Linked DNA regions of Ovis aries. The main gene of each other region encodes a partner of the protein of the gene in region 2 in a complex. Links are inferred from orthologs where the notes say so. Each region holds a gene or a part of one and is shown on either strand. Other genes may lie near its edges.

Evidence for each region.
Region 1: the proteins of WDR48 (region 2) and USP12 are in contact, whole or in part, in a crystal structure (PDB 5K1C), measured with the Homo sapiens proteins. The link is inferred for Ovis aries from reciprocal best matches to the Homo sapiens genes WDR48 and USP12. Residues at the interface, in NP_065890.1 of Homo sapiens: Arg50, Trp77, Asp118, Tyr119, Lys121, Leu137, Ser170, Tyr172, Thr188, Asp211, Asn212, Lys214, Ser230, Gly254, Trp256, Arg272, Ile363, Ile364, Leu424, Lys425; in NP_872294.2 of Homo sapiens: Arg185, Leu187, Thr188, Cys189, Glu190, Thr191, Ser227, Lys230, Cys236, Arg237, Ser238, Lys239, Gln240, Glu241, His243.

Annotation. Positions count from the first base shown.
Region 1 is NC_056063.1:32,979,868-32,989,827, reverse strand, and holds part of USP12 (ubiquitin carboxyl-terminal hydrolase 12), read right to left. Parts: intron 7,348-9,960; coding exon 7,121-7,347; intron 3,500-7,120; coding exon 3,423-3,499; intron 3,304-3,422; coding exon 3,220-3,303; intron 92-3,219; coding exon 1-91. UniProt on the Homo sapiens protein: Deubiquitinating enzyme that plays various roles in the regulation of the immune response and inflammation.
Region 2 is NC_056072.1:12,415,606-12,425,565, reverse strand, and holds part of WDR48 (WD repeat-containing protein 48), read right to left. Parts: intron 9,320-9,960; coding exon 9,212-9,319; intron 8,901-9,211; coding exon 8,804-8,900; intron 6,717-8,803; coding exon 6,621-6,716; intron 4,526-6,620; coding exon 4,420-4,525; intron 3,481-4,419; coding exon 3,393-3,480; intron 2,719-3,392; coding exon 2,683-2,718; intron 1,038-2,682; coding exon 961-1,037; intron 1-960. UniProt on the Homo sapiens protein: Regulator of deubiquitinating complexes, which acts as a strong activator of USP1, USP12 and USP46. Enhances the USP1-mediated deubiquitination of FANCD2; USP1 being almost inactive by itself.

The DNA.
Region 1 (9,960 bases), on a different chromosome or scaffold from region 2:
AGAAAGTTTTGTGTATCGATGAAGCTGATCCATATACTTAAATCTTTTCAGATGCAGAGCTAGAATCATGGGCAGCTTTTTCACTTTCATCCTGTCAGGATAAACATGAAGACAGAATCTCGTAACAGACATTCACCGTGTCCTTAAAAGAACTATCAGACTGCAGGACTCAATAACCGCTGACAGTCAGTTTTATCAGCCCAGCACCGCCCACTTCCGCATTCTCTCTACCTGTGCCTCTTCTAAGCTTTTCTTGTGTGCTGGGGTAGAACTGACTCATAATGCTGTGATGGTCTGGGGTGAACAGCGATCTCCTGTCACTCCACCATCAGCAGGGCAACATTCTGATGGTCTTAAGACGGCCCCCTGTCCCTCATCATCTCCAAACCACATAATATGACGTGGAACTCCGTGTGGCTCCCAGACAGAGGTGTAGCCCTTTAAGAACTCTGTACTCCTGAAACAGAGGTCCCTCATGACCAGGCAGACTGCAGGCGACGCCTGTGTCTGGTAGAGGAAAAACCGGTTCCTAAGAGCTGCTGTGCGCAGAGACTGAAATCCATTCGTTCTGCTCATCTGTAAGTCAGGAACAGACTGGGAACAGGAGAGAGAGAAGAGCAATGGAGACCAGCCACTCAGGGCGTTTCACAGACAGGATACAGCTTCTTACTAACAGCTCTGACTGTGCGGATCCCACAAAGGCAATACAATAACCTGGAAACACAGGAATGAGGTTTCTACCTGTCAAGTCCAGGCCGCCTCATCCTCAACAATCCTGACGACCCCCTCCACGCCATCTCTGCTCCCCGATGTCACCGCACGGCAGCCTCTTCCTAACAAAATTCACCGCCAACGCTTTCCCTTCCGACAGAAACAGCTGTTCTCCTCGGTCCTCCACCAGCACTTTACAGACTCACCCTGTCTCGGAACAGTCTGCTACACTACAAAATACAGAGATGGCTGTGGTCTCTCTCTCTGTCTAGGGTCTGGACTCTGGGCAGACAGAAACCATCTCTTTCATTGTATTTCTTCACCACCCAGTAATATGCCTGGCACACAGCAGGTACTTGACAAACAGTGCAGGACTGAATTCTGTATGTGTTCAGTGAAGCAAAACACTTCTCATGCTAAAAAAAAAATTTACTAAGCCACTGCCTCTAATAAAGTGAAAAAAAATTTTTTTATAGCCTTATTCGAAACCTGCATTCTACAGATCTTAAATGTGGAGGAGCAGCAGATTATCCCAGAAATATTTACTAACCTGGCCAGTGCAAAACACTAATGAAAAGAAATGTAAAAACCCAATCTTTGCTGGAAAACCAGCCAGCCACAGGAACCAACAGTCTTTATGTCCTTTTCCTCAATAATTCCATTTCTAGAAATTAAATATATAACCTCAAATACAATATCCCTGAGCCCTCACTGAGACTGAGAAACAGGGATATTTATAATCTCAAAATACCTCCACACAAAATGCATATCAGTTACAACTAGGGAGAAAGCACAGCTTAACGCTGGGAGACAGCACCTCAGTCAAGTGACCAGAGAGAACGGTAGCAGTCACAGGACATCCTGGGAAAGGCTGGCTGTGGGGCTGACCCTCAGCTGGCATCTGGGAACTTGATCTGGGGGGACTCCTGCTGTTCCCTAGCTGGTAAGAGGGTCTTGATGTGCCTGAACTTGTTGCGCAGATCATATGGTTTATGCTGAACACCTGCTTCCCTTGCAGGAGCCTGGAGTTTTGGTACACGCCTGATGGCTTGGCGGGTGAAGAATCCCCCTGCGATGCATTAGACGTAGAGACTCAGGTTTGACCCCTGGGTCAGGAAGATCCCCTGGAGGAGGAATAGCAACCCACTCCAATATTCTTGCCTGGAGAATCCCCATGGACAGAGGAGTGTGGAGGACTGTGGTCCACGGGACTGTAAAGAGTCGGACACTGCGTGACTGAGCGTGTACGCACACGCAAGCAGGGAGTGCCTAGGTGGCCTGCCCCCAGTAAATCTCGGGCACCACACCGAGTCTGTGATGAGCTTCTCTGGGAGACAATGCTGTCACATTCGATGCTGGAGAAACAAGTGTGTCCATGTGACTCCACGGGGACAGGACACTTGGAAGCTGGCTTGGCTTCCCCTTTGCTGATCGGACCTGTCACTGTTCCCTGTGACAAACCTTAGCTGTGAGCAGGACTACAGACGCTGAATCCTATGAGTCCTTCTAGGGAACCATCAAATCCAGGAGCGGTCGTGGGGGCCCCGACACATGACACGTATCAAAATCGTGTACCATTTAAAAAGAACACAGCCTCACCTCTGTGTGATTCCTGCCCAGAATACAAAATCTAAACCTCATTACATTAAAACATGAGATGGACTCAAAGGAGGACATTCTGTAAAATACCTAACCTGTAATTTTTAAGTGTCAAGAGAGTGAAAGTCAAGCAAAGACTGATAAGGAACTGCTCCCAGTATAAAAAGATGACAGAGACACAAATGGTAAATGCAACGTGTGCCTCTGGACTAGACCCTTTTTTCCTATAAAGGACATTACTGGGACATCTGGTGATGCTAAAGTAAGGTCTACAACAACAGTAACATCTCAGCGCTGCTCTCCTGACGTGGCCGGACATGGTACAGGGGAAACGTCCTTGCTGGCAGGATACCACTACCGAAGCCTCAGAACTGTGGGACATCACAGCAGGGACCCACTCTCAAATGGTTAAGGGTGAAAAGCATTCTTGGTATACTGTTCACAAGACTTTGAGGCTGCCTCAAAACAAAAAGTAAAATAATCAGGGTGATGATAAGTCCATTTTCTGATACCAGAGTACTGTCCTCATGGTGACACACTGAGAGAAGGCGTGAATCCTATGGAGGAACAGTGGAGACTGGAGTGGGCGTGAGGAAAGCACTTTTCCCCTCTTCTTTCCTCACCACGAGAAAGCTTACACAACGAGGAAAGCTTCAAAGCAGAATCCTCTCACTGTATTGGTTTATGGCGATTAAACACTCACCAAGTGTGGATAGTCAAGGCAGCCCGGAGTTGAGCACTGTTTGCCTGGTAACTACCTCATGTGTTTGTCTAGTAATTACCTAATGAGTCTTAACAGTTGGTGATAAAATAAAGGATGATTACTCAATGCAAACTGCCAGAGATCACTTTTGGTTAGAACATCCATGGCCAAAGAATCACTATGAATTACAGAAAACACTAAATTACCGTTTGTGTGCTTCCTGTTTGCTGCGACATTCTTCACAGTAGTATTTGTATTCACTGCATAGAGTTTCTGTGTTGCTAAAACCCCTGTGTAAAATCCAAAATAAATTAGTTTTGCCTGTACCAGAAAATGATGCATTCATTTAAAGATATTCTAAAAACCAAAGATAATCATTAACTGTCAAAATAAATAATTCCACGCTTACCTTAAGCAGTGAGTAATTGATGTGTTTTGTTCCACGTCAACAGAAAGGTCTAAAAAATCTTCATCTTTGCTGCTTATCTGTAAAAATAAGAGAATTAATTACCTTTGATTTCTTTAGGTATCAGTAAATTACTGCTCCAAAGTGAAAGAATTAAATGTGGGTTATTATCAGTATTATTAAATATATAAAGAACCTTTTTCCCCAAGTTGAAAAGAAACTACTTGAGTCATACAAGTTTACAAAAGGAAGCTGAATCAATACCCTTCATTATATTTAGAAGAAAATACCAAAGTGCACCTACAGCTGCTCTCCTTACTGGCAAAGGCTGGTGTGATGTGAAATCCCATCACTTCCCCGAATCCTGGTATTGGGGGTGGTTTGGTCACTCAGTCGTGGCCCACTCTTTCAACCCCATGGGCTGTAGCCTGCCAGGCTCCCATGTCCATGGTGTAAAGCATAAAACAAACTATGCCATACACAGTAATTCTTAAAAGAACACAGGACAAGGATGAATGAGAATGGCTGGTAAAGGACATGATCTCTATACTGTTTAATTATTTAAGAAAAAAACTACCATTTAAGAAAAAATATTAGTCCAACATGCCAAACTGAGCCTTCACTTATGACCTTCTTTTATTTATCCTCCAAATTTAACCATGTTCTGATTTATGAATGAATCATCTATAATGATCTAAGTTACTACTTAATCAGTGAGCTAGAGTAAGACACATCACTCATGCTGGCTGCCTCCCTTGACGGGATGCAACAGGAGGGACGTCAGACTTGGTCCCTGGGACCCCTCCACCACCAAGTGACTCCACATGCACAGATGGTCTGTGATGACTTTTTCGATACAACACGAAAAGCATTTAAAGAATATCAAAAGCATTTCCATGAAGGAAAAAAAAACAAAAAGTTCAGTTCAGTCGCTCAGCCGTGTCCAACTCTTTGCGACTCCATGAATCACAGCATGCCAGGCCTCCCTGTCCATCACCATCTCCCGAAGTTCACTCAGACTCACGTCCATCGAGTCCGTGATGCCATCCAGCCATCTCATCCATGGTTGTCCCCTTCCGCTTCTAATCCCCAATCCCTCCCAGCATCAGAGTCTTTTCCAATGAGTCAACTCTTCGCATGAGGTGGCCAAAGTACTGGAGCTTTAGCTTTAGCATCACTCCTTCCAAAGAAATCCCAGGGTTGATCTCCTTCAGAATGGACTGGTTGGATCTCCTTGCAGTCCAAGGGACTCTCAAGAGTCTTCTCCAACACCACAGTTCAAATGCATCAATTCTTCGGCGCTCAGCCTTCTTCACAGTCCAACTCTCACATCCATACATGACTACTGGAAAAACCATAGCCCTGACCAGATGGACCTTAGTCGGCAAAGTAATGTCTCTGCTTTTTGAATATGCTGTCTAGGTTGGTCATAACTTTCCTTCCAAGGAGTAAGCATCTTTTAATTTCATGGCTGCAATCACCATCTGCAGTGATTTTGGAGCCCCCAAAAATAAAGTCTGACACTGTTTCCACTGTTTCCCCATCTATTTCCCATGAAGTGATGGGATCAGATGCCATGATCTTTGTTTTCTGAATGTTGAGCTTTAAGCCATCTTTTTCACTCTCCTCTTTCACTTTCATCAAGAGGCTTTTTAGTTCCTCTTCACTTTCTGCCATAAGGGTGGTGTCATCTGCATATCTGAGGTTATTGATATTTCTCCTGGCAATCTTGATTCCAGCTCGTGTTTCTTCCAGCCCAGCATTTCTCATGATGTACTCTGCATATAAGTTAAATAAGCAGGGTGACAGTATACAGCCTTGACATATTCCTTTTCCTATTTGGAACCAGTCTGTTGTTCCATGTCCAGGTCTAACTGTTGCTTCCTCACCTGCATATAGATTCTTTAGGAGGCAGGTCAGGTGGTCTGGTATTCCCATCTCTTTCAGAATTTTCCACAGTTTCTTGTGATCCACACAGTCAAAGGCTTTGGCATAGTCAATAAAGCAGAAATACATGTTTTTCTGGAACTCTCTTGCTTTTTCCATGATCCAGTGGATATTGGCAATTTGACCTCTGGTTCCTCTGCCTTTTCTAAAACCAGCTTGAACATTAGGGAGTTCACGGTTCACGTATTGCTGAAGTCTGGCTTAGAGAATTTTGAGCATTACTTTACTAGCATGTGAGATGAGTGCAATTGTGCGGTAGTTTGAGCATTCCTTGGCACTGCCTTTCTTTGGGATTGGAATGAAAACTGCCCTTTTCCAGTCCTGTGGCCACTGCTGAGTCTTCCAAATCTGCTGGCATATTGAGTGCAGCACTTTCACAGCATCATCTTTCAGGATTTGAAATAGCTCCACTGGAATTCCATCACCTCTACTAGCTTTGTTCGTAGTGATGCTTTCTAAGGCCCACCTGACTTCACATTCCAAGATGTCTGGCTCTAGACGAGTGATCACATCATCATGATTATCTGGGTCGTGAAGATCTTTTTTGTACAGTTTTTCCGTGTATTCTTGCCACCTCTTCTTAGTATCTTCTGCTTCTGTTAGGTCTATACCATTTCTGTCCTTTAAACTGGACTTTATTAAAATTTAAAATTAAAACATTAAAAACTTCTGATCTGCCAAAGGTATGGTTGACAGCATGTGAAGATGAGCCACAGGCTGGGAGAAAACCTTGCAAATGACACCTCTGACAAAGGCCTGGTGTCTAAAATGTACAGAGTACTCCTGAAACTCAACAGCTAGAAAACAAACAACCTCATGTGAAAAATGGCCCAAAGACTAGTACTGATACCTCACCAAGGAAGATATATAAAGACGGCAAACGGGTGCATGAAAAGATATTCCACGTTATATGCCATCAGAGAAATGCAAATTAAATGCATTTGATTTAAATATAATACTACACACCTATTAAAACAGCCAAAATCCAAAACACCAACATCAGCAAGTGCTGACCAGGACGTGGAGCAGCAGGAACTCTCCCTCATTCCTGGTGGGAATGTGAATGTAGTTCCTTCCAAAACTAAATGTACTCTTCCTACCACACGATCTAGCAACTGCGCCCCTGGCCACTAACTGAGGCACTGAAAACTTATATCCACACAAAATCCTGCACATGTGTGTTCAGAGCAAGTTTATTCATAATTACCAAAACAAGCAACTGAGGTGTCCTTCAGTAGGTAAATGGATAAACTCTGGTACATCCAGACAATAAAATGTAATTCAGCAATAAAAAGAAATGAGCTATCAAGCTGTGACAAGGCAGGTGGGAACCTTAAATACCCACTGCCGAGTGAAAGAAGTCAATCTGAAAGGGCCCCATGCTCTACGACTCCAGCCATGTGGCATCCGGAGAGGGCAAGCTCTGGAGGCAGTAAAATGACCAGTGGCCGCTAGGGGTCAGGGGAGGGGAGGCACAAATACACAGGCCACAGAGGGTCGCCAGAGCAGCGAGACTACTCTGTAGGACACTGCAGTCACAACACAGCCCAACTGTTCAACATGAAGTCTCGAAACAGTTCACGCCGCAGCGAGTGTTTCTCTGCCAGCTCAGGGTTCGGTCAACAAGCAGACAGCCGAGAGGCTCGTCAGTCACAGGCACCACAACTCTCAAGCTCACTCTCATACTCATCCTCAAAGAGCTTTTAACACAACGGGTTAGATGCGTTCTATATGACATTTTATGAGACACTTACGGTTTCACACGTAAGACACCTGGTTTCATTAGTCAGTGTTCCCTGGAAGATCTCATGAACCCATGTCGGGTCTGGTGTGCTGTTATTTTCACTGTCAATGTTACCATTAGGCAGACGACCATTTTGTTTCTCCTGCTTTCTCTCTTCTTGTAAAATATCAGCAATGGTATTTAGTAGGTAATTTAGGAATTCGTGGGCATCTTGCTGCATGTAGTTGTCAAAGAGCTCTAAAAATAAGAATGCACAGAGAATTATTTCAGAATGAGTTACTTCATTAAAAAAACTAAATTAAAAAAAGAATATCTAGTATTCTATCAGAATTACATAAAATGTTTGTGACTGTTAGTAATGAACAAGAAACATGTATCTTTCACATATACAAATTATGACTCAAATTTGAGGAAAATACAGTTATGAAGAAAAATCTTCTAAAAAATACTAATTGATCAAAAAAAGAGAAAACCTATCCTCATACATAATGTATTGAGGTAGTAAGAAACAACTGCTTTTTATCAGTTCACTTAATCTATTGTCCCATAAATAAAACAAAAAGGCAAAATGGTTGTCTGAGGAGGTCTTACAAATAGCTGTGAAAAGAAGAGAAGTGAAAGGCAAAGGAAAAAAGGAAAGATGTACCCATTTGAATGCAGAGTTCCAAAGAATAGCAAGGAGAGATAAGAAACACTTCCTCAGTGATCAATGCAAAGAAACAGAGGAAAACACCAGAATGGGAAAGACTAGAGACCTCTTCAAGAAAATTAAGAGATACCAAGGGAACATTTTATGCAAAGATGGGCTCAATAAAGGACAGAAATGGTAGGGGCCTAACAGAAGCAGAAGACATTAAGAAGAGCTGGCAAGAATACATAGAAGAACTATACAAAAAGATCTTCACGACCCAGATAATCACAATGGTATGATCACTGACCTACAGCCAGACATCCTGGAGTGTGAAGTCAAGTGGGTCTTAGGAAGCATCACTATGAACAAAGCTAGTGGACGTGACGGAATTCCAGTTGAGCTATTTCAAATCCTGAAAGATGATGCGGTGAAAGTGCTGCACTCAATATGCCAGCAGATTTGGAAAATTCAGCAGTGACCGCAGGACTGGAGAAGGTCAGTTTCCATTCCAATCCCAAAGAAAGGCAATGCCAAAGAATGCTCAAACTACCACACAATTGCACTCATCTCACACGCTAGTAAAGTAATGCTCAAAATTCTCTAAGCCAGGCTTCAGCAATACGTGAACCGTGAACTTCCAAGATGTTCAAGCTGGATTTAGAAAAGGCAGAGGAACCAGAGGTCAAATTGCCAATATCCACTGGATCATGGAAAAAGCAAGAGAGTTCCAGAAAAACATCTATTTCTGCTTTATTGACTATGCCAAAGCCTTTGACTGTGTGGATCACAAGAAACTGTGGAAAATTCTGAAAGAGATGGGAATACCAGACCACCTGACCTGCCTCCTAAAGAATCTATATGCAGGTGAGGAAGCAACAGTTAGAACTGGACATGGAACAACAGACTGGTTTCAAATCAGGAAAGGAATATGTCAAGACTGTATACTGTCACCCTACTTATTTAACTTATATGCAGAGTACATCATGAGAAATGCTGGACTGGAAGAAGTACAAGCTGGAATCAAGATTGCCAGGAGAAATATCAATAACCTCAGATATGCAGATGACACCACCCTTATGGCAGAAAATGAAGAAGATCTAAAGAGGCTCTTGATGAAAGTGAAAGAGGAGAGTGAAAAAGATGGCTTAAAACTCAACATTCAGAAAACTGAGATCATGGCATCTGGTCCCATCAGTTCATGGGAAATAGATGGAAAAACAATGGGAACATTTGACAGACTTTATTTTTAGGGGCTCCAAAATCACTGCAGATGGTGACTGCAGCCATGAAATTAAAAGATGCTTACTCCTTGGAAGAAAAGATATGATCAACCTAGATAGCATATTCAAAAGCAGAGACATTACTTTGCCAACAAAGGTCCATCTAGTCAAGGCTATGGTTTTTCCAGTAGTTATGTATGGATGTGAGAGTCGGACTATAAAGAAAGCTGAATGCTGAGGAATCGATGTTCTTGAACTATGGTGTTGGAGAAGACTCTTGAGAGTCCCTGGACTGTGAGGAGATCAAACCAGTCCATCCTAAAGGAAATCAGTCCTGAATATTCATTGGAAGGACTGATGCTGAAGCTGAAACTCCAATACTTTGGCCACCTAATGCAAAGAACTGACTCACTGGAAAAGACTCTGATGCTGGGAAAGACTGAAGGGAGGAGGAGAAGGGGACGACAGAGGATGAGATGGTTGGATGGCGTCAACGACTCAATGGACATGAGTTTGAGCAAGCTCCAGGAGTTGGTGATGGACAGGGAGGCCTGGTGTGCTGCACTCCATGGGGTCACAAAGCGATTGAACAGAACTGATAAATACTACAACAGGGCAAGTTTTAAAGCAGGAAGTGGACAACCTTGTGGCAGTGCCAGGGCAAATGTATACGAATCACAGAGGAAGCCTTGAACATGATAAATCACTGGGCCACACAGCCCCGTGTACATTCTCTGACAGAGTTAGGTGAGGCCTGGAACCTGCACTTCTCTAAGCTCCTCCAGGTGATTCTGCTGTGCAGTCACGTTTAGGGAACAAAGGCAACATGGAAAATATATTTAATCCAGAGAATCTCTAAGGGCCCTTCCAAAGATCTGTAACTCCGTGGAACGTCCCCGTAGCTACTCAAATGAGTCGCTGTCATGGAAACACTAAGCACTTGGCCTGTGCTCGCATCATGTACCCTGAGCCTAGAGAGGAAGCCCTTCCAGGGCACGG
Region 2 (9,960 bases):
TTTGGTGATAACATCTGATAAGGCTATATCATACCACAGAAACATAAACCAATACATGTTCTCAGGCATTGCTTTAATCCATTTTCAGAATTCCCAACAGATTTCTTATAGTGTCCTCTCCTAAAACAGATTATGTGCAAATAAGTGAGATTATATACATAAAAAGTAGCCTTCTAGGTTCTATTCCCTTAAAGACTTTCCCAGAGCATGGGCAAACTGAATGCTCCTGAAAGGGAAGGCAGCCCCTGTTGCTTATTAGGCTCCGATGATGGATGTACCCATTTCTCCCAGGGCTTCCTCCTATAGTCAAGACTTTGAGTTTCAACTGCTTGTCTGATCTCCAAACCCACCAACCCAATAGCTCCCGCCAATGTCCCAAAGGCATCACAAACTCTACATGTCCAAAACTAGATTCAGCAACTTCCTTATCCCCAAACCTACTTCTGTATCTCTGACATCAGTTAATAATGGTCAAATCAAGTAGCTCAGGCTCATACTTTAAAAGCAAGTTAAACTATATATACTTTCAATATTATGAAATTAGCCTAAGATCTAGTGCTTGCCTTCTGTGCTCTAAATGTAATCCTAACAAATAATTAAACTAATTAAATCCAACCCAGGGATCAAACCCAGCTTTCACGGATTGCAGGTGGAGTCTTTACCAGCTGAGCCACCTGGGAAGCTCAAGAATACTAGAGTGGGTAGCCTATCCCTTCTCCAGTGGATCTTCCCGACTCAGGAATCAAACCAGGCTCTCCTGCATCACAAGTGGATTCTTTAATCAGCTGAGCTGCCAGGGAAGCCCATGCTTGGTGAATGGTTAAATTGTATGACTTCAGTTTTATGGAATAGCCTAAGATCTAGTACTTGCCTCCTGTGCTATGAACGTAATCATAAGGAATAAAAAAGTCTCTGGCAATTAATCAGATCAAAGTATTGCACGACACTCCATTTACTTACTTTTTTAAGGTTTTTGCTCCTGAAGAAGCATGAGGTTGGAGGTAGAAAGGAATTTTGTTGAATTTGGGCATATTTTTCTGAAATATTAAAAGTGAAAAAAAGTAAAATAGTGTCTATTAATTGATAAACTAAAATGATGTCAATACTTGTGAAAACATGATTCATAAGTTAATTGCTATTGTACATTTAAAAGTGACTTTCTATGAAATTTATAGTAAGCTCTCAAATTATGTCAGCCTTAGAGACAGGGTATCAGAAAAGTATAAAGTTTAATTTTGTAATAAAACATATATAAAGACAAATCATATGCAGTGTCAGTAGCAGTATAAAATGGCAGCATGGCTCTTCTCAAGTAACAATTCAAGGTATTAAAGGGAAACAAACTTTATTTTAATCCTTTAAGCCATACAAACCAAAATCTCAAGTCTACATTCAAATGCCAGAACAAAAATTTAAGTATCTTGAGAGAAACCCACAACATTCACTTTTGAGCAAAACCATACACTCTATGCTGGTAAGGTCCATTATCCACCTCTAAAGGTCAATCAAGTCCTCCTAACTTGCTTTACCTCTGACATCAGAGTGAGGTCTGTCTGAGGTTTCAAATAAGAGTGGAAAGTTCAGCCAACCACCTAGATGTCCATATGATGTAAACCATACACTTAGATAAAGGATAAAATTAATTGGTCATCTTTGCTATGGGGATTAATCCCCTTTGAGCCTCCATGTCATATCCTCTTCGGATGTTTCCTCCAGGGAATAAGCCACAGGCCTAAAGTCAGCAATGCATCCGAGTGAGTTTCACACTCAAAGGAAGTAGTGGTTTATGGGGAGCTCAAATTTAGAGAAGACTAGAATATCCATCAGGTGTCAGACTGGCTTTAAGTTCTTGGAAGTTTATCTGGGACAGAAAACAAATTTTCTAGAAGGTTCTAGAGATTAAATCTCTTTTCATGAGGCTTTAAATAGACATAAAATTGGTCAATAGCACATAACTAGAAACAGACCTATGTGTGTATAGAAATTTAGTATATGATAAAACAGCATTTCAAATTAGTAGGAAAAGTTTAGATGATTCAATAAATTGTGTTGACACACTGGCTACCCATTTGGAGAAAGTTAGCATCTTACTTCACTTCACACCAAACAGAATAAATTCACCAAATAGAATAAATTCTAATACTTTAATGATCTAGATACAAACTATTATCATAAACATACTAGAAGAGAACACAAGAAAATATTTTTGCTACTCTGGAGTGCGAAATACCTAAGCAAGACATGAAACTCACAGCCATAAAGGATTAATCTGGTCATATAAAAATTAAAACTTTTTGCCTGCCAAAGGACATCATGAGCAAAGTAAAAATTCAATCAAGAGGCAAGAGAATGGTCAAAGGGTTAATATTCAGTATGAAGAACTATTACAAGTCAATAAGAAAGACAAATAACCCAATAGAAAGTCGAGTAAAGAATACAAACAGGCAACTTACAAAAGAAATAAAAATGGCCACTATGAAAAGATGCTTAACCTCACTGTAAGTTAAAAAAATTTAGAACAATGAGACAATATGTCTATCTTTCAGCAAAGATTCTAAGTATCCAGCATTGGTGAGGGTGTGGGGTTCTGGGCACTCACACACTGTTGGTGAGAGTGTAAACTGGTATACCCTTAGTGGAGTGCAATTTGGCAGTATCCATTGAAATTTAAAATGTGCATACCCTTTGATCCAGCAATTCCACTTCTAGGAATTTACCCTAAAAAGTACACAAAGATATATATACAAGGATGTTCACTGAAGCATTGTTTTTAACAGAAAACATTGGGTACAACCTAAATGTCCATTAATAGGGACTGGCTAAATAAACCATGGTACATTTATACAACAAAATATGCAGTCATTAAGAAGAAGTGATCCATACACTAATATGAAAAAATGTCCAAAATATATTTTTAAGTGAAAAACAAAACAAAAAAACACATCCAAGTTGTAGAACAGTACAGAACAGCAAATTCTGTGCAAAATAAAATGACCTACATATGGATCACATATATCTAGACACACATATACAGACACAAACACATACTTGTGTATGCACAGAAGAAGGTCCTGAAGGCATTAAGCTATTAATATTTACTACCTCTGGGAAGAAGAAGAGGAAGTGAATGGAAGACAGTGTTTGGAAAAGGATGGGAATTTCACCTTATTCATTTATTATTTTCTTTGATAAACACATTTTATATATTAAAAATAAAGATAGAAAGAGACATAATTATAATATTTCTCTGCAGCTTTGGAACTGCACAGAAGCAGAAGAGGATTCCACTTGGCAGTCTAGTTTCAATCAAAGATTATACAATTTAATACAGTAAATTTTCTTCATGATTTGGAAAAAAATAAGAGGACAAAGTGGGAGTGGAGGACACTTACATCCACAGTGATGTCAATTACCCATTGTGGCACCGTCTCATTAAGAAGCATGGACTCAGTCTCACCCCCAGAATCTCGGCAGAGCAGCCTAAACATAATCCATCATGTAGTAAGTGACAAAATAAGCACGGATCCCAATATCACTATCATTAAATGTTAGAGGGAGGGAGCTTATAGAGTTCATTCAGGATCACCCCCAACTGACAGCTGAGGAAATAAAGTAGAAGGCAGGCAGAATGACTCACTCTGCTAAGAGTGAAAGCAAGCTGTCAAACTCAGGCTCCCAGATTCGAGGCCAGACGGACACTGTGGCTGCCTGTTGGGGCCCCTGGGTGAGGACAGGAAGCTGGGTGTAGGCAAGGCACTTGAGGTCGCTCAGCAGAGCTACAGTGCACGGTAGTCCATGCACAACATGGGGTCAGGCGGTTTTCAGTGACCACACTCTCAGGAAATCACCATCAAGGAAGAGAATTCTGCTCTCAAGGGCAAGACAAATAGCTTTCTTACTTCTGGCCCATGGCTTTCTCCCATGACATTTCCTGGGCCTTGGCTAGCAACTTGGAGGTGAAGCCAGCCTAGCACTTGCCTGCAGGCCCTCAAGAAGGACTGCCTTGCACCTCAGGTCGAGCCATTGTTGGGCATGACAGTTCCCAGGAGCAGCCCAGTCCATCTCCCCTGGCCTGGTCTGAGGGAAGTTATCTACTCAGATGTTGTCCTGTGGGTGGGGACTTCTGGTGAAGTCATCTGTCCCTGGCAGTCTGGCTGGTTAAGTGAGAAAAAGCACTTCCTGCAGAAACTGCTAAGAAGCTGCCTTGAGGCAAGGTTATCAACCTCCACAAGGTATCAACCTCATTTTACCACTAGAGGCTCAGCTCTGAATTAAGATGGGGTCTAACAGCATCAGACACTTAACTATTTCAGGGAGGTGAAAAACCAAAACCCAGACACCCCTAGAAATTAATAGACATTTGCTTGAATCAAAACTTCAGGGCAAACAGGGTGCACTCTTAGCCCTTCCTACCCATACCTGAAGAGGGTGCGGCCTCCAGCTTCACCGAAGATCACAGGGGTGTGTGGCGGCACTTGAAAGTAGCCATTTCCTTTCTGTACTCGGTTCTCCTGCTCCCCGTTTACTAGGAAAAGACACAGATGGCGTCAGGATCCAGTCAGCGCTAACAACATGGACTCTAAACATTTTGTTTCCACAGGACCCAACCATTGCAAGACTTAAGTCAAGAAGTCCTGTAAGTCAGCTAGAGATGGAAATAAAGGTAAAAAACAAAGTGAAGTTCCTGAAAATAAGAAATACGGCAATGTGCGATATACCTCACGAGAAATGATTACATTTTAGAGGAGATTAATGTTTGAGATTTAAAACAAAAACATAACCATCTACTTCAGCCACAGGGCAGTCTAGAACAGTCTATAAACAATGATCTGCTCTTTCCTTTGGCGCTGGTGGGGTGGGGATTGGTAAAACACCAAGCACAGAGAAATTTGTGTCAGAAACAAAGTTTATATTTAATGGCAGCCACAACTAACGGTATTAGTGAAAAACAAAATCTCAAAGAGGTCATAAACTCATTTTTATTGCTCTCTGCAGATTTCATTTTAGTCAGATTTCATTTCAGTCAGCTCTCTGCAGCTGACTCCCCCTTGTTCATAACTACTTTCTGAAGGAATCTGGAAGCAATCTCACCCTCTGCAACCCAACAACACTCTCTCACAGCACCAACTCTGATCACACAATGCAGATGTAAGCGGTGCTTTGTCCAACCAGAATGCTAGTCCCTGAATGGAGGGATCCATGTCCATCTATCCCTATTATCCTCACAACTCACTTCAGGCCTCCGAATACTCGAGCTGCCCACCTCGTATAACCCAAGCAGCTTGAGGGTCCGCTGTGTGTCGTGCAGGTCCAGCAGGATTACCAGCCAGGTAGTGCGAGCCGTGTCCTGAGCTTGGCTCAGTCCTGCCCTGCCTTCACTAGGCCAATTTGATTCTAAGGATGATTTAACGTTTCCTGTGACTTATTCTTTACTCCCCCAACCGAAGTCTGCCTTCAAGAGATGCTGCCTGGGGCCCTTTGTTTCGATTACGTGGTCTTTATTGGCTCCTTGGGCCTCCGAGGGCACCGTCAGGTTATAGATGGAGAAAGACAAGTCAAGAACAGGAAATGGCATGCCCGCAGCTGCACAGCTGATAAAACGGCAGAGCCCACAGCAGAACCTAGCTTTCTCGACCCTGTGAGCAGATCTTTCCACTGACTCTGGCTCACAGTTCACTGTACAATTCAGAAGGGGAATGAAGCGAGCCAGGTGACAGAAGAAAGGCCATCATGTGTGGGGTCAGTGCTCTCTCTCAGACAGGGACATCAGGACACTGGCTTACAGAGAGGCATGCCATCCTTGCAAAACAGATTTAAACTCCAAAATTTATTCTGGATGAATCAGTCAGCCACAACAAACTCTCTGGCAGGAGGGCTTCATCACTGCTGACCACCACAAATAGGCAATCTTCAGAGAATCTTTAGCAGAGCAAGTCCTCAGTGGGGGGACTCAAGGTTATGTATCAGCTGTGATATTTTAAGTTTTTCCCCTCCTTTCTTGAATCAGACTGAGCCAAACTCATATGTTCCAAATTCTCCCGGGCTGCCCAGTGAGTTACTGCTGCTGCCTGTGGCACACACAGCTTTGGAATGTCCTCAATGACATTAATTCTTTACACATACTCAGTCACTTACCCTGGCACTTCTGAATTGGGAGCTGCTTTTTTGAGCCAATATCAGGTAGATCATCAGACTAGGGAATATCTACCTTTCAGGCCAATGTGAGGCATGCCTCACAACAACAAACCTGGCTTTCCAATGCAGCTAAATAGCTAGCTTTGGAGGTAAATCCAGCAGGTCCATGGATACCTTGAGAAATACTGTTAGAATGAACCTGCTAAGCTGCCTACTTTCAAGGACAAAGGTCACCTGAATACACAGGATTGATTCCATATACCTTGTGTAGTAATTAAAAGTTCTTCGATATCTCAGTTAAGACTGGATGGACGTTCTTTAGCATGTAGAAGGGAGGGCAATAAATTGAGCATACCCCAACTATTATGTCATACTTTAGCAAATGCTTAAAAAAATTTTTTAAAAAAATTCTCAGGATAACAATCTAAATATCCTTAACTTCAGAGTAATTTTAAAACCAATTATCCTAATATAAAAATACGAACCATGATTTACTTCATTTTCTTCTTCATCTATTGGATTCACATGTGTCCTAGGCCAATATTCTAGGAGTGCCTGGAGTAAAAGTCCTCCTAAGTTCACTGCAAGAGAGTCAATTAAAATAGAAACAAAAAAAACAGAAAAGAGAAACATTAGTTTTAACTTAAAAATAGAGGGAAAGCAATAAAAATGAAAAGCTTCCACATATTCTGATGTTACATTCTTAACCCAATGCCAAGGATGTCTAAAAGCAAGACTTTACGTATTTCACAAAGTCTATTAAAATTTCATCTTACAATGTTTAAAGCAGTGATAATATCAAGCAAACAGATATTCTATTTGGTTATTCAGATATAGCTGTTCTTTGAAAATGAATAAACAACAACTGAAATTGTATTCTTTAAAGGGCTATTTCCATATAAAGCCACTATATTTTGTATATATATCAGTTATTTCTACAGGCTACAATCTTAGAAGAATACTGATCAAAGATATAATTAATAAAATATAATAGACTCTTATGAAGATAAGTCTCTTCTCAACATACACAAAAATTAACTCAACAGGGACTAAAGAGATGAATGTAAGACTTGAAACCACAATACTCCCAGAAGAAAACACAGGCAGTAAGCTTGCTGACAATGATATTGGTGGATGATTTTTTTTGGATCTTACACCAAAAGCAAAGGCAATGAAGGCAAAAGTAAGTAAGTGGAACTATATCAAACTAACAAGCTTTTATAGAGCAAAGGAAATCATCAACAAAATGAAAAGGCAACCTACGGAACAGGAGAAAATATTTGCAAATTATTTATCTGAAATGGGTTAATATCCAAAATATATAAAAAATTCATACAACTCAATAGCAAAAAAATGGAAAAATCTGACTAAAAAATTGGGCAGAAGAGCTGAATAGACATTTTTCCAAAGAAGACATACAGATGGCCAACAGGCACATGAAAACATGCTCAACATCACTAATCACCAGGGAAAGGAAAATCAAAACCACAAGGAGCTATCACCTCACACCTGTGAGGATGGCTGTTAATCAAAAAGATGATAAACAACAAATGTCTGACAGTATGAGGAGAAATAGGAACCCCTGTGCACTACTGACGGGACCTAAGTTGGTGCAGACACCGTGGAAAACAGCATGGCGGTCCCTCAAAAACAAAACTATCGTATCTAGTACGCTACTTCTGAGAATTTATCTGAAGAAAAGGAAAACACTCATTTAAAAAGATATATGCACCCCCATGTTCATTGCAGCGCTATTTACAGAAAACCTCACTGTCCATTGATGGATGAATGGATAAAGAAAATGTGATATACACACAAAGAAATATTATTCAGTCATAAAGAAAATGAAGTCTTGCCATTTGTGACAACAAGGATGAACCCTGAAGGCCATATGGTTAAGCGAAATATGTTAGACACAGACAAAAGCCATATGATCTCACTTACACGTGGAATCTGAAACCAAAAAAGCAAAAAACCCCAGAGCTCACAGAAACAAAGAACAGACTGGTGGTTGCCAGATGTTGAGGGGCAGGCGTAACGGAATGGGCAAAATGGGTGAAGGGAGTCAAAAAGTATGTACTCCCAGTTATAAAATATATTCGTCACGGGGATGTGACCTACGGCATGGCAACTATATTTACTAATACTATATTGCACATTTTAAAGTCGCTAAGAGAGTAGATCTTAAAAAGTCTCAAGAGAAAAAACTTCTATACATGGCGACAGATGTTAACTATTAACTAGATTTACTGTTGTGATTATTTTGCAATATATACAAATACTGAATCATTATCCTGTACATCTGAAACCAACATATGATATGTCAGTTATACTTCAGTAATTCTTTAACTGGAGGGGGAAAAACTGTTTCCTAGCTTCAGTTATCCTTACCTAACAGATTTCCAGAATGCTTTAAGGGTAGAGAGTATGCTGCGTGTTTAATTGTTAAAGCTAAGTCATACATTGTGAGAAAACTCAAGATCCCAAAACACTTAAAATGGAATGTTTTCCATTTCCATATGAGAGAATAATATAGATTTCTTGAAAAATAATTTTTTAAAAACCCAAATATTGTTTATAAACAAAAAAGATGAGCATAAAGCAAAAAACCAGCACAGATCTACCTACTCTTTTGGAAGGAGGCGGGGAAGGAAGGACACAAACTCACGTTTTGGATCCGACCCATCAGGGCTGCTGAAGCCAGCATCTTTTGCAGAAACCCAAGCAGCAAAGCAGTCACTCTCATCCAAAGTAATTGTCAACATCTGTCAAAAGAGAAAAATTGCTTAGTGGCATTCTATTTGAATACACTCTTCAAGTAAGTCTCTAAATCCTTATTTATTTGCACTATTTGACTACAGTGCTAAGCCACAGATTCAGAATCAAAATGTGTTTCGTGTAATTCAATGCAACTACGATTTAATATACTGGGATATGAAAAGGCATTTAAACTGCATAAAACCTTCTCCTTTCAAACTTAAACACACAGGACTCCAAAACTAATAATACTTAATTCTCAGCTATATGGGAAATTTTCAACTATCCCAAATTGCACAAATATCAACTGCTAACTTACCCCTGTTTTTAAGTCTACTGAGAACCAATTTGGTACATATACCATCTTAAATCTTTTCTTAATTTCATCTTCAAAATCCACTTTGCCCAAATCTTCAACTTTACATGCCTATACATCAAAAAGAAAGTATGATAATTATTACTATTAAGCGGTCAATTTATTTGACTCTGACTTAGTTACTCAAATTTTACACATTTGCCTAAATAAAATGGAGATTAAAATATGTTTCAGAAAGAACATCACCAAACATTTTTATCTTAAAGCGTTTACCTTTAAATAACTACCTCCTAGTAAAATTTTAAAGAACCACAAAATGTTCTTTTTTTTGAAACTGTAATTTAATTTTGCTGATATTGATATAACATACCACCACACTTATCTGTAACCAATGTCAAAAGAAGGGGAAAAAGATCTTGAAGGAACAAAAAGCAGTTTGTAAACACTTTAGGAGAGCTATGAAGCTGCCTTCAGATAACAGGTATAATATAGGCAGCAATCTTAAGTTACCTTTCTTATTCATTCCCTAAATACATATGCTCCCCAAAAGTATGTTCCAAACTTCATCTGGTGCCATGGAGCATTTCCCATCAGCTCATCTCAATTCTGAACCACAAGACAGAATGTTCCCTCTACCTCTTCTTGCTAACAGCAACCTGGCTCATTCCTGAGGGTCCCAGCTCACCAGCCATCTTCTCAAAGGGTGACTACTCCATGTCTTCTTCTATAGCCCATAACTCCCTAATGGCATA